Linked DNA regions of Saccharomyces cerevisiae S288C. The protein of the gene in region 3 purifies or fractionates together with the protein of the main gene of each other region. This does not show direct contact. Each region holds a gene or a part of one and is shown on either strand. Other genes may lie near its edges. The genes, in order: RPL17A, ERB1, RPF2 and NOP15.

The links.
Region 1: the proteins of RPF2 (region 3) and RPL17A purify together in Saccharomyces cerevisiae (affinity purification with western blotting; 5 studies listed by BioGRID, with this or other methods). This does not show direct contact.
Region 2: the proteins of RPF2 (region 3) and ERB1 purify together in Saccharomyces cerevisiae (affinity purification with mass spectrometry; 7 studies listed by BioGRID, with this or other methods). This does not show direct contact.
Region 4: the proteins of RPF2 (region 3) and NOP15 purify together in Saccharomyces cerevisiae (affinity purification with mass spectrometry; 7 studies listed by BioGRID, with this or other methods). This does not show direct contact.

The regions. Positions count from the first base shown.
Region 1 is NC_001143.9:107,557-110,649, reverse strand, and holds RPL17A (60S ribosomal protein uL22 RPL17A), read right to left. Parts: upstream 1,382-3,093; coding exon 1,073-1,381; intron 767-1,072; coding exon 521-766; downstream 1-520. Other genes in the region: CCAAT displacement transcription factor COY1, read left to right, coding at 1-186; ribose phosphate diphosphokinase subunit PRS1, read right to left, coding at 2,051-3,093. UniProt on the Saccharomyces cerevisiae protein: Component of the ribosome, a large ribonucleoprotein complex responsible for the synthesis of proteins in the cell.
Region 2 is NC_001145.3:367,594-372,467, reverse strand, and holds ERB1 (ribosome biogenesis protein ERB1), read left to right. Parts: upstream 1-1,950; coding exon 1,951-4,374; downstream 4,375-4,874. Other genes in the region: CSM3 (Csm3p), read right to left, coding at 4,534-4,874.
Region 3 is NC_001143.9:591,006-594,233, reverse strand, and holds RPF2 (rRNA-binding ribosome biosynthesis protein RPF2), read left to right. Parts: upstream 1-1,693; coding exon 1,694-2,728; downstream 2,729-3,228. Other genes in the region: NUP133 (Nup133p), read right to left, coding at 1-1,409; MTD1 (methylenetetrahydrofolate dehydrogenase (NAD(+))), read right to left, coding at 2,877-3,228. UniProt on the Saccharomyces cerevisiae protein: Required for biogenesis of the 60S ribosomal subunit.
Region 4 is NC_001146.8:417,229-420,140, forward strand, and holds NOP15 (rRNA-binding ribosome biosynthesis protein NOP15), read right to left. Parts: upstream 1,261-2,912; coding exon 598-1,260; downstream 1-597. Other genes in the region: CYB5 (Cyb5p), read right to left, coding at 1-74; YNL108C (uncharacterized protein), read right to left, coding at 1,786-2,598; YEATS domain-containing protein YAF9, read left to right, coding at 2,870-2,912. UniProt on the Saccharomyces cerevisiae protein: Involved in the biogenesis of the 60S ribosomal subunit. Required for pre-rRNA processing and cytokinesis. Associates with the precursors of the 25S and 5.8S rRNAs.

The DNA.
Region 1 (3,093 bases), 480 kb from region 3:
TACTGTATCGGTTTACACGGACTCGTATTCATGATGAGCATGTATGTGATTAATATTAGCGGCTACATGACACCTGAGGTTGGTATAGTACAATCGGCAAAGTCTTCTTCAAATCTCAACGGAGGACTTGGGGGAGCAGAAAAAGTAGCTGCAGGCGTTGGTTCAGTTCATGGCATAAATCGATAGATGCCTTTATTCACTAAATTCTAATAGCTCGGTATGAAGAACGCACACGTTCCGTACTAGAGAGGGAATGAGTAACGATTGACATATTGATATAGACAGTAGCATTTCTTATTATCTTATCTACGGGATTTTTTCAGTTTATGAGCATTTCTTATACCTTTGTTCATTATAAAACTATGTTCAATACTTTGAACGTAGGATTATCCGATATAATATAATAATATTAATAAAAAACTTATTTTAGAGTTATGTGATATGACGGGGAGATAAAATTACATAGATAAAAGATTAAAATTAACAGAGAATTATATTATCATTATTTTTCATCTTCTATTTAAGCAGCAATACGCTTTTGGGCGGCGATTCTACCTCTTTGTCTAGAAGTCAATCTAACGACCTTCTTTTCAGCAGCCTTGGCGACAGCTTCTTCCTTTTCAGTGACAACTAATTCAATGTGGGATGGAGAAGATTCGTACTTGTTGATTCTACCGTGAGCTCTGTAAGTTCTTCTTCTTTGCTTTGGAGCTTGGTTAACTTGGATATGAGAAACGTACAATTTAGTAGCATCCAAACCTTTAGCCTGTAATAAAAATAGTTATGTTGTTAGTAAAAAAAATTTTGATCCGGTTAAGTAATTGAAAAAGATGAAACTAGCGGAAAGAAATATCAAGTTTTCAATATTTTTCTAACAAAATCATAAACACGTAATGGTAATCCTTAGTTGCTTTTCAGCTTGACAGTTCATTCCAATCTGGTAATTGTGACTTTCTGAATAATTCATTTATCATATTCAATTTCCCTTGATCATAATGGATTTTCCGCGCATTTTGAATTTCAACTCATTCTTGTTTCATCTGGTACTAAACATATAATATTCTTGACATACTTCAGCGTTGGCAGCGGCGTTTTGCAACAAACCTTGAACGAACTTAACAGACTTAGCTGGCCATCTAGCCTTGGTGACACCAAATTCCTTACCTTGAGCAGTTCTACCGATGGAAGAGTTAAATCTTCTGAAAGGAATAGCTCTTTGGTGGTCCAAAACTTGTTCCAAGTATTTTTGAGCCTTGGTCAATTCCCAACCGTTAATAGCTTGAGCAGTTTCTCTGGTGTTCTTGAAAGAAACACGCAAGTAGGAACCACGAGCAGAAGCGGATTTAGCAGGGTTAGTGGAAGTAGCACCGTATCTAGCCATTTTAATCTATTAGTAGTTCTTGAGGACTCTTTGTTTGCTCTTTCGAATATAGCACTGAAAACGTTAGTAGTTGTTTTATGCTAGCCGTTGAAGCTCTAATGTTAGAAATTTCCATTGCAGTGAGAAAGCAAATCGAGACCATCCCTGTCTGCGCCCATAGAGCTAGGCCGGTGGGCTTCATTCTCCCGCCTGGCAAAGAAGCAAAGTCCAGTAGACACGCGGGAGCGATTTTCTTCCGGCAGGTCCGCCCTTACCAAATCGGTTCCTTTTTCACGGAATTTGATTACTTTCAGCATCTTACTCGGAAGTATTTTTTCAAAAAATGGAGCCAACTAAATGTACGGATGTTGTAATGTGTTTGGATGATAATAGTCTTGAGTTCACATTAAATGAAAAGCCGCCGGAACCTAGAGCATTGCATAAATCTATATAATTTACTATTGCAGAGCAATAAAATGAGGAAAATGGCTAACCTGTCAAAATTTCATAGATGATTTGATAAAGGTTCTGTTTTTTCCATGATACATAAAACATAATAAATGGTTTAATTCACCCAAATTCCTATAATTTATACTCTTGCAGATTCACTGAAATCTGGCAAACATACAAAGTTTTTTGATAATCTATGTCATATTTAAGAACTAAAATATTGCGCACACTCTCTTCTGTTTACAGAGCTGCCAAAGAGTCAAATAAAACGGAAATACTCTCACCATAATGATCACGACGGATACATTCTGCGAAAATTGGAGAAACATCGATAGTAACCAATTTCTTGGACCCAGCTATGCGTTCGCCAGAAATCGGATATGTATTTGTGACCACAATTGTGTCAATGGCATCGGACTTTTCAAGTTCTTCCAAACAGTCTCCAGTGAATATACCGTGAGTAGCAACAACATAAACCTTTTTGGCACCACAATTTTGCACCAAATGTTCAGCAGCGCTAATAAATGACCCAGGTCTATCAATCATATCATCTAGAATGATGGCAGAGCGACCACGGACGTTTCCGACCAATGTAATCAGTTGTTCCCTATAGAGAACTGGGATTTCCTCTTCGTCTTCGGAGTCGACAGCATCATATGTACCGCCCAAGCCATGCGAGTCTAAGCCATCAATAGAATGCAATTCGCTGTCAGATTCTAAGATAGCGTCTTCATCATCGTCTGCCTCATCGTCACCGATAACGTGGCCGTTACGGATCCTAGCAGTTTGAATACCGTTACTTAAAATAATGTTTTCCTCCTCATTTGGATGGTCACCTTGTCTGATGATCGGTCTATTTTTCCTCAACATTGATTGCTTTCTCAACTTTAGTTGTTGCAAATCCTTGTTTTGAGAATACAGATCCTTAGAACGACGACGATCAGTATGGATCATAGCAAAGTTGATCTTCAAAGAATCCGCCAGGGCTGTAACTCTTTTAGTACCACCTGGATTCTTAGAGACAACTACTGCATCTTCATAGTCTTCAACATTTTCTCTAATCCATTTCGCTAAACTAGGGCCCCCGTATAGGTTATCGACTGGTTTGGTGAAAAACCCCTGCATTTGAGAAGCATGAAGGTCCATAGACACAACATGATCAGCGCCAGCCATGACCAACAGATTGGCCAACATCCTTGCAGTAATAGCGCCTCTGTGTCTCTTCATTTTACATTGTTTAGAGTAAGGAAATTGAGGAATGACTGCTGTAATTTTCCTAGCAG
Region 2 (4,874 bases), on a different chromosome or scaffold from region 3:
CAGTTCGATCCTGGGCGAAATCATTTTTTTAGCACTTTAGCAGCATATTGCGGTATCGAATCATCTTCATGAATGGCGCAGATTTATTTGAACTGTTCAATCATAAATTAACCTTATGTGAATAGTCTGGGTAGGTTGAAACTTCGGAAATCACTTGCTTTTCTGAGGGCTGCGCGTAATCTAGATAGATCTACCTAAATGACACCGATGGCAACTTCAAGCTATACTAACTCCTAGACATTACTTTCTTCAGTATTCCCTTAGTGCCTGTTTTGAGCTATGAGATTGGTATTATTATTTGAAATATCTTCTATTGCGGTATCTGATTTTATATTTCTAGCTTTGTCATAAAATATAAAATACACAAATATATATATAGAGATAAGATAGATTATTTTTGATGACTTGCAAGTTGCACTAGGATTTGTTTTTCTTCTAAAAACCCCTTAAAGGTATTTCCAGAGAAAATATTATGCTGGTTATTCGATACTATTATCCAGTATACACTGACCTATGTTATAAGCAAAGGTTCTTCGTTCTGCCTCTTTAACAGGTGGAGTGCGTGCCATTATCATCAATGAAAGTTTAACATGTAATTGTCATCAGCTGTATACTGTTCGAATCTGTTCATTACGAAGGTTTAACTTCAAAAATCGAAAAGAAAAAAAATAGAAGATAAGAATATTGCATAGATCCTTCTTTTTTAGTGAAGTCACCGAATAATACATATAATGAAGTTAAAATTACAAACCGTGCAAAAACACCGCTGATTTAGAGTGGGCGATTTCATAGATCAAAAAGCAGGCTAAATATGAATTGAAAATTAAGTAGTCTACTATTTTCTGACAGCAGTGGCGCGCGACGGTTTCCAGGAAGTTTATTATTCAACGTGTCCAATTTTCACACGCTGCTTGACATCGTTATTCCCTGAACGCATTTTTACACTGTATGCGCAATTTGAGCCACTTTGATGGACTATTATGTATGAATAGCTTAGCTTAAAGAAGTAACAGTAGAGTGTTGAACCTTTAAGTGCTTGATGTACTCGAGCCTTTTTCTATGATACCTCACTCCAGAAAAAAGCGTTTAACATATCTGGCATTGAGGGTGGTCTCAAACAATAAAAGTATCCTATTTAATATTTTAACATTGCTGATAACCTAAAAAATCTGAACGTTGCCAGCATAAAACCTCAGCTTTATATCGTACTGAATAACATACTTACTGCAGGGCGAAATTTTTCTCAAATTGTGCCTAAATCGTTAAGTTACTAAACTTTTACGCGCAGTACTGGCATTGAGCGATCAATATTGTTTAATGCGTAGTGACGATCTTCTCCACTTATATTTTTTTATTCGTAGTTCTCTATTTTCGTTTCGATTTGTTTTCTCTGTCTACCAGATTAAAAGTGATTTGAAGTTTTTTATCATGAACTAAACAATAAAATTACAAAAAAAAAAAGTCAGCGTCACCAAGGATTGCTACCAATATACGACTTTACTGCTGTATTATCGAATTTTACCTTCTAGGATATTATGTAAAGTCTCTAGCAAAGGGAGAAAACTAATGTTACTAGGACTGAAGAACATTTTCCTCTTATAGTGTAAAATTGATTTTGACAAGAATATAATTAATACATTTTTTTTCTTTTGATAGCAGTATTGAGTACAATGAATTGAGCATTCAAGGTTCAACATGTGATAGTAGCTCTACCGCTAGTATGTTATTGCTAATTAAGTAGGATTGAATTGTCGCGATTTTGTCATTTTGGGTTTTAATAACTCTTGTACGGGTTACCCCATTTGTTTTTGAAGATTAGTGAAAAATTATTGAAAATTTTTTTTTTTTTGGTTTTGCGATGAGCTTATAATTTACATATGTGATATATTCGCATATAGATCCTAGCGAAGAAAGGTACTGTATTAAATCTGTTCTAACATAACTAGGTCAATGATGGCTAAGAACAACAAAACTACCGAGGCAAAGATGTCGAAAAAGAGAGCAGCTAGCGAAGAATCTGATGTCGAGGAAGATGAGGACAAGCTTTTATCCGTTGACGGTTTGATCGATGCGGAAGCAAGTGAGAGTGACGAGGATGATGACGAATACGAGTCTGCCGTTGAAGAAAAGGAATCATCTTCTGATAAAGAAGCCCAAGATGATTCTGATGATGACTCCGATGCTGAATTAAACAAACTGCTTGCCGAAGAAGAAGGTGATGGGGAAGAGGACTATGACAGTTCTGAGTTTTCAGACGACACAACTTCCTTAACAGACAGATTATCGGGTGTGAAATTGCAAACGATCGTTGATCCGAATATTTACTCAAAATATGCAGATGGCAGTGATAGAATTATCAAACCTGAAATTAATCCAGTTTATGATAGCGATGATAGTGATGCCGAAACGCAAAATACCATTGGTAATATTCCACTTTCTGCATACGATGAAATGCCACACATTGGATACGATATCAACGGTAAAAGGATTATGAGACCTGCCAAGGGTTCTGCTTTAGATCAACTGTTGGATTCTATCGAGCTACCTGAAGGCTGGACTGGTTTACTGGACAAGAATTCCGGTTCAAGTTTGAACTTAACCAAAGAGGAATTAGAACTTATTTCCAAAATCCAAAGGAACGAACAAACTGATGATAGCATAAATCCATACGAACCGTTAATCGATTGGTTCACGAGACACGAAGAAGTGATGCCATTAACTGCTGTTCCGGAGCCAAAAAGAAGATTTGTTCCATCCAAAAACGAAGCCAAGAGAGTTATGAAAATTGTAAGAGCTATCAGAGAGGGCCGTATTATTCCTCCTAAAAAATTAAAGGAAATGAAAGAAAAGGAAAAAATTGAAAACTATCAATACGATTTATGGGGTGATTCTACGGAAACAAATGATCATGTAATGCATCTAAGGGCACCAAAATTACCTCCACCAACTAATGAAGAGAGTTATAATCCACCAGAAGAGTATCTTTTGTCTCCTGAAGAAAAGGAGGCCTGGGAAAATACTGAATATAGTGAAAGAGAAAGAAACTTCATACCTCAAAAGTATTCTGCCTTAAGAAAGGTCCCTGGTTACGGTGAATCTATTAGGGAAAGATTTGAAAGATCTTTGGATTTATATTTAGCTCCTCGTGTCCGTAAAAACAAATTGAATATTGATCCTAATTCTCTAATTCCAGAACTTCCCTCTCCCAAGGATTTAAGACCCTTCCCTATTCGTTGCTCAACAATATACGCTGGTCACAAAGGAAAAGTACGCACATTATCCATTGATCCTTCTGGATTATGGCTAGCAACAGGATCTGATGACGGAACAGTCAGGGTATGGGAAATTTTAACTGGTAGAGAAGTTTATAGAACTACTTTAATCGATGACGAGGAAAACCCAGATTACCACATTGAATGCATTGAATGGAATCCTGATGCTAATAATGGTATTCTCGCCGTTGCTGTTGGTGAAAACATTCATTTAATAGTACCACCAATATTCGGCTACGATATTGAAAATAACGGCAAAACTAAGATTGAAGATGGTTTTGGCTACGATACTTTTGGGACTGTTAAAAAATCTAACCTAGAAGTGAACGAGAATGGTGATGGCGATGAAGATGGAGAGAATGAATCTGCTAAGAATGCTGTAAAAAAACAAGTAGCCCAATGGAACAAGCCTTCTCAAAAGCAACTAGAAAAGGATATTTGTATCACTATTTCTTGCAAAAAAACAGTAAAAAAGCTTTCATGGCATAGAAAAGGTGATTACTTTGTCACTGTTCAACCTGACTCTGGTAACACTTCTGTTTTGATTCACCAAGTTTCCAAGCATTTAACCCAATCCCCATTCAAAAAATCGAAGGGCATTATTATGGATGCGAAGTTCCATCCTTTTAAACCTCAATTATTTGTCTGTTCCCAAAGATATGTCAGAATTTATGATTTATCTCAACAAATATTGGTCAAGAAACTGTTGCCTGGTGCCCGTTGGTTATCGAAAATCGATATTCACCCAAGGGGTGATAATTTAATTGCGTCATCGTTTGACAAGAGAGTTTTATGGCACGACCTGGATTTGGCTAGCACACCTTACAAGACACTAAGATATCATGAAAAAGCCGTCAGAAGTGTGAATTTCCACAAAAAGTTACCTCTATTCAGCTCTGCCGCTGATGACGGTACCATACATGTTTTCCATGCCACTGTTTATGATGACATGATGAAAAATCCGATGATTGTGCCACTAAAGAAACTAACCGGTCATAAAGTAATCAATAGTCTGGGTGTTCTTGATGCTATTTGGCATCCGAGGGAAGCTTGGCTGTTTTCTGCCGGTGCTGATAATACGGCTCGCTTATGGACCACCTAGATAAATAATTTGAAGTAGATATTGTATAATAACGCCCAAGAAGAAAAAATCAAACACTCGAACCAGGCTCTTTCTACAAGCTTTATTTACACAATATATATAAACCTATATGTATAGATGCCCACACGCACGTTTGGATTATTACCTTCAATGACATTGCTAAAAGCCCATTTCCTTCATAGCATCCAACTCATCTTGATCTACGCCAAACTCATCTCCCCCTGGCAATAAATCATAATGAGTATGTTGTCCCTCTATATCATTCATTTCCCACTCTTCCAAACTTTGAATCAGTTGAACGTCTTCTTCAGTCATAGAGCCTTTTTCCATTTTTCTATGCGCATCTAGCCATCCTAATAAGAGCTTCTTCTCATTTTCTTCAAGGCCAACGGGCCCTTGTACCCTGAATGTCTTCAATAATGCATCCAAATCTTCCTTAGGCGGCACAACGTTGTTAAGTACCGTTTCATTATTCCCACGTTCGTCCAAAACTCGTCCTC
Region 3 (3,228 bases):
TTCGTTAAAACATACAAAGATTTTGAGTCGTAACCAGAACCAATTATATCAATGTCATTTCTAAGGCTAACAATATCTTCCCACTTTCTTCTCATTGAATAGCTAGAGTCCAATTTTGAGTTCACCTGAGTAATGACAACAGCATTGGGGAACATTACCAAAATGGAAGTTACCTCATTGGTATCGTTAGCATTCTCCATCTGAGGTATAAATATCTTAGGCTTAAACTTTGTGTCGGTTATTGACTCCATAAAAGTGTTCAATCTATAAGTGGAAAAAATAGTAAAACTATTAGAAGAAGAATCGAAGATAATCGTGGAAAGAATATAATATGTTTCATTGCATGAACTGTCGTAAATAGATGACAGGAAAAGTTGTGAACTTTCATCTTGTAATGGATGAGAGTCCCAAATCTTCAACGTACCATGAGCAAATGGATACAAATCCTGGAGCGACTCTAAAATGGCTTCGTAAATGTTTACATCAATCAATTTTGTTGGATGGGAATTCGTGGCAGACAACTGCCATGTTTGAAAAATTCCTTTGTTAGTAGTAATATATACTAACCTTGTCCCCTTACCGAGGATAGGTCCATTTCGTAATGAGACAACTGAACTGTTTGTATTGAAAATTTTGGACCAGATACCCAATTTGAAAGGTTTATTTAATAGTTTGCCTAACTTCAGTTGAGGTTTACCCATGGAATTTCTAATGGTTATAAAAAATATTCTGCCCATATTTGTAGAAAGCACTATACCAGCAGGTTCGCAGTTTAACATTAGGTCACACTTCTCTCCGCCCGAAGAGTTGATGGGTAATTCTAACTCGTGAGAGAATTTTTCAGATAACTTAAAGTTCAAATTATTTATGGAGTTGATATCCTCATAATATATCGCTTTGCTACCTTTGATAATGATAAGCCCTCCGGTTTCGTCCTGATCATTAGGATTCAGTGCTAATGGAGACTCATCCATTGTAGCAGGGAAAGTTAGTATGCACCTGGGCGCGACTGCTATTTCATCATTATCATCAGAACGAAATGGTACAGTTATATAGGGCGTATCCTTTTGAGTGGAGTGAATATTCCAGATGTAAACCTTCTTGTGGTCATTGACTAGTCCATATCCAATTTGCATATCGATATATCCATTCAATTCGTCATCGTTACTGAATCCGCTACTGTAGTCTGTTTGAAGGGTTTTTACTATGTATCTGTTATTTTCTGTGAAAACCTTGGAATTATCAAAGTGCGAATGTAACCTTAACTGTTGCTGCTCCATGGAAATGTCCATTAGAGAGGCCTGGCTTTCCTCTTCATAAGACAACTGCGCCAGGGATTCGTTTTCAACCACCGCAATGGGTACGCTAAGTTCCTTCCGCAAACGAAGATGTACTTTTTTTTCACTCATATGGCTATCCTAATGTACTTCACTTGAATTGGATGTAACAGTATGCTCGAGCTCCTCTAAACCTTATTCCTAAATGGTGTATGTTTTGGTTTATTCTGCTATTTTGATTCCTAAATCCTCAAATATATCGTTTTATACGATTTGAAAATTTTTCATTTTTTTGCGATGAGCTAAGGATCGAATTTTCTTATAGTGTAATGCATTATTGGAAAGTGATTTGGTATATCGATGAGTTGTATTGAAGTTATCATATCCAAAAGCGCAGGAGAACACTGGCAGAAAAAATGATTAGAACCGTAAAACCCAAGAATGCAAGAGCCAAGAGAGCTTTGGTAAAGAGGGAAGCTAAGTTGGTAGAGAATGTCAAGCAAGCGCTATTCATTCCAGGGCAAAGCTGTAACAAGAATCTGCACGATATTATGGTAGATTTGAGTGCCTTGAAGAAGCCAGATATGAAGAGGTTCAATCGTAAGAATGATATTCATCCTTTCGAAGACATGTCGCCACTAGAGTTCTTTAGTGAAAAGAATGACTGTTCATTGATGGTGCTGATGACAAGTTCCAAAAAGCGTAAAAACAACATGACCTTTATACGTACATTTGGCTACAAAATATATGATATGATTGAACTAATGGTTGCAGATAATTTCAAGTTGTTATCTGATTTTAAGAAATTAACATTTACTGTAGGGTTGAAGCCTATGTTTACATTCCAAGGTGCTGCATTTGATACACATCCCGTATACAAGCAAATTAAATCTTTGTTTTTAGATTTCTTTAGAGGCGAATCTACTGATTTACAGGATGTTGCGGGATTACAACATGTCATTTCCATGACCATTCAAGGTGACTTCCAAGATGGTGAGCCATTGCCGAACGTTCTATTCCGTGTTTACAAATTAAAAAGTTATAAAAGCGACCAAGGTGGTAAGAGATTACCACGTATTGAATTGGTGGAGATTGGGCCACGTCTAGATTTCAAAATCGGCAGAATTCATACTCCAAGTCCAGATATGGTCACTGAAGCTCACAAGAAGCCAAAACAATTAGAAATGAAGACAAAGAAGAATGTAGAATTAGATATCATGGGTGATAAATTGGGTAGAATCCATATGGGCAAACAAGATTTGGGTAAACTACAAACAAGAAAGATGAAGGGTTTGAAATCCAAATTCGACCAAGGAACTGAAGAAGGTGATGGAGAGGTAGATGAAGACTACGAAGATGAAGCGTCGTATTCGGATGATGGACAAGAATACGAAGAAGAGTTCGTCAGTGCCACTGATATTGAGCCCTCTGCTAAAAGACAGAAGAAATAAGACCCATAAACTTTGTATATTATATGATAATCTAAGAGAGGAGAATTCTATATGTATGTAGTAAGTACATTACAAATGATCTTTCTTTTTTTCCCTTATTTTTATGTATTCTGTTTTACCTATGCTTATTTGAACAGCCACAAATGTTCTATTTTTCTTTAGACAGTTCTACGTTCCTTACTAAACGTAACATGTTTCTCAACAACATTGCAATGGTAACTTTACCAGTCATTGGAACGTAAAGAGAAGCTTTTTCCTTGACATCATCGCTAAAATTTTTGGTGCATGCAAAATTGATGCAGACGGCACCTTCTTTGATGTATTCGGTGGGGAATTTGTAATTTTCACTAGGGACACCAGTGATGACCACATCTGAATCAAGAGAACACTTTTTCAACAGATCTTCAGAGTACTCCCCAAGGTCTTCCACATGATGCTTGTTTAATTTCAAACTTTCACCACGGGTGAATTTTTGAATGTTGTTAACGTCCACAGAGTAT
Region 4 (2,912 bases), on a different chromosome or scaffold from region 3:
TCATCGATGATAATCCAGAAATTTTCTGGGCCATTGTGTTCGGCAACTTCTTGGTAACTGTAAACTTTAGGCATGATTGTTTGATATTTTATGTTGTAGTTGATTGATTTTCTTTACTATGAAGAAAATGAAAATCGAATTTAAATATTAACGAGGAAGCCTGAACGAAAATTTTTGAGAAAGTTTCAAAAGCTTCTTGTTCTTTATATAGTTATTGGAAAAAGGACAATATATATATTTGTTATTTATTGATATAATAACAATGCTTCTCAAATATCGCTTTTTGGCCACGAATGCGACAAAAATTTTCTCGTTATGCTAACCTCTCTCACTATCTCGATCTCGTATAGCTTTCTTTTTTGCAGCTATTGTTCTTTTTCTGGGCCGTTAAATTTTTCATCCGGAAACTCCAGGCTATTACCCGCTCCGTGATTTTGGTCGTTGAATCTTCGTAAAAGCAATCATGTAAATATCATTGAATACGGACAAACGGAACTATATTGCTGGAATTAATGATATAAATGGTTTCCCAAGTTTGCTATATCTCCTATTCTATCTTACAAAACCCTTTTCTCAGGGTGGATGAGAAGTGACAAGTCACCATTTGAATTCGATACCTGACTTGGCTAATTTTTTTATCCTTTCTTCATGTTTTTGCTTCATGTTATCCTTTAGCTGTTTTACTGGTTTGGTGATACCTTTCTCTACTAGAACTCTCTTCTTGTATTTGTACAATTTCTCGATTTTAGCTCCTTTTGGTAATACACGCACTTGTAGTAGATGACCCATCAACAAGTAATTGTTCATAGATTCTTGGGCGATCATTGCATCCTCTTTATTAACGAATTCTAAGAAGCCATAATGTCTGGAATTTCCAGTTTTCTTATTACGTGCTAATCTCACTTCTTTTAAATCACCGAATTGAGCAAAATATTTACTTAATTCCTTTTCGTGGAACCCATGTGGCAGTCTACTCACATAAATAATCCCAGAATACTCTTCAAGTGTCTTTTTATCTTTCGACTTTTTTTCATTAGCCTGCTTCTTAGGATTCAATCTTTTAATCTTGTGTGTACCGCTCTGCTCATCATCAGAAGCGGCTAAACCTTCAATTTCATCTTCATCTTTTTCGTCTTCTTCATCTGAACTGCTAGACGATGTTTCTAGAGCCAACTCTTCTTTCTCCTGTATAGGTTTTTCTTCGGTGGGTTGTTTGGTTACTGTTTCCTTGGTGGAAGTTTTGCTTGTTGACTTTACCATATCGATCTCTTTCCTCTGTTATTTTATCTCTAGAACTTAACCCTATAGAAAAGGTAGTTAATGAAGTTAAAAGTAATGGTAATCGTCTTCAAATTAAGTGATGAGATGAGATGCGATGCACTACTTCATTTTTTCTTATGGCGGAAAATTTTTCATAGTGAAAAGAAACAGGCAAAATCTGGGGGGTAACCGCATACGTCTCTGCTATGCCGTCTGTAATGAGGATGCTAAAGTTGCAATAGCTGCTATGCACATTAGAAAGGGTTTAGCAGGATAATGAGTTTTCAGAGATAGCACAAAACTCGAAAGGTTTCGGTACTACTACCTAGACAGCTCATCTTTCAATCGTTGAACCTTGAATTTTGAAGTTTAGGGATATTAAAAGATACTGTTAATTCTATCAATTTACACTAGACTTTGACATATGTATATATATATATATATTCACACAGCTTCATCATGAAATAAAAATCAAATGCAGAAGTGTATAATGAGAAGTACAGAATTCAAGACTCACTTTAGTTTTCACTCCATTTTTAGTTTTCCGCTCTCAGCTGCTCTTCTCGCTTTGATATCAGCGTCTGAACCAGCCTCAAAGGCATTCATAAACGTCCAATTCATTTCTTCCCCATTAGTTAAAAAGGAGGTGTTGCCATTCATTGTAAGTTTCCACTCTCTCTCTTCAAATGGTATACTTTCATTTTCTCCTTTCACCAGCTCAAATTTATCAATAGCACAACTTCCATTTCTTATAAAGGTGCCTTTGTTATCAATGGGCTCTTTGGCACTGGAGAATTTCAACAAGTTCATACCAAGAGCGGATTTAGTGGCTGCGTGGGTAACTATCATAATGGTCTTTACATTTGGAAATTTTCTCTCCACTCTGTCAATAAAGACAGGCCAGAATTTATGGCACCTCTCAAAAATATCTTCTTCTGTTTCACCCTTATTACTAGGAATAATACTAGGTTCCCAGTCTGGAGAGATCATGCTTGGAAAAAACTTACTCATAACTTCATGAGTAGCAGGCTCCGGGATAATGGGTCTATCAGGCTTATACCATTCTCCTACACCACGATCGACATATAATGGAATCTTTAAAGCCTCCACTGTGGGTTTACTAGTTTCTAAACAGCGGTAAAATGGGGAGGAGAAAATCATTTCTGGTTTGACATCTAATTTAGAGATATAGTTCGCCAGTTCATGTGCCTGTTCAACACCGTGTTCCGAAAGCGGGACATCGTTATCAATACCGGTGGGCGGTGGTGGATATGGTCCCTTTGGTAGCCAGTTTGACCTGTAACCATGTCTGGCAATGTATATATTTTCGATAGCCATAATTTATAGCACTATTTTAACCTCTTGTACAACTAATTGAACGTCTTACATATTGAACGAAACTGCTTTACTTCTAGGATTGTTTTCAAAGCTTTTTTATAAATTTCGAAATATCCGCTATTCGGATGACGTGATGACGCTTCGGCACCATTGATTATTTTTCCAGAGTTTAGATGTCTTCTATGTGCAACTGAACAAGTAGCCTTCGAAAGCTAGAGGGATAGATACATTACTTGTGACCACCTATTTACGGCATCACAAAGAAAGCGAGATGGCTCCGACAATAAGCAAAAGGATAAAAACTCTCTCCGTGA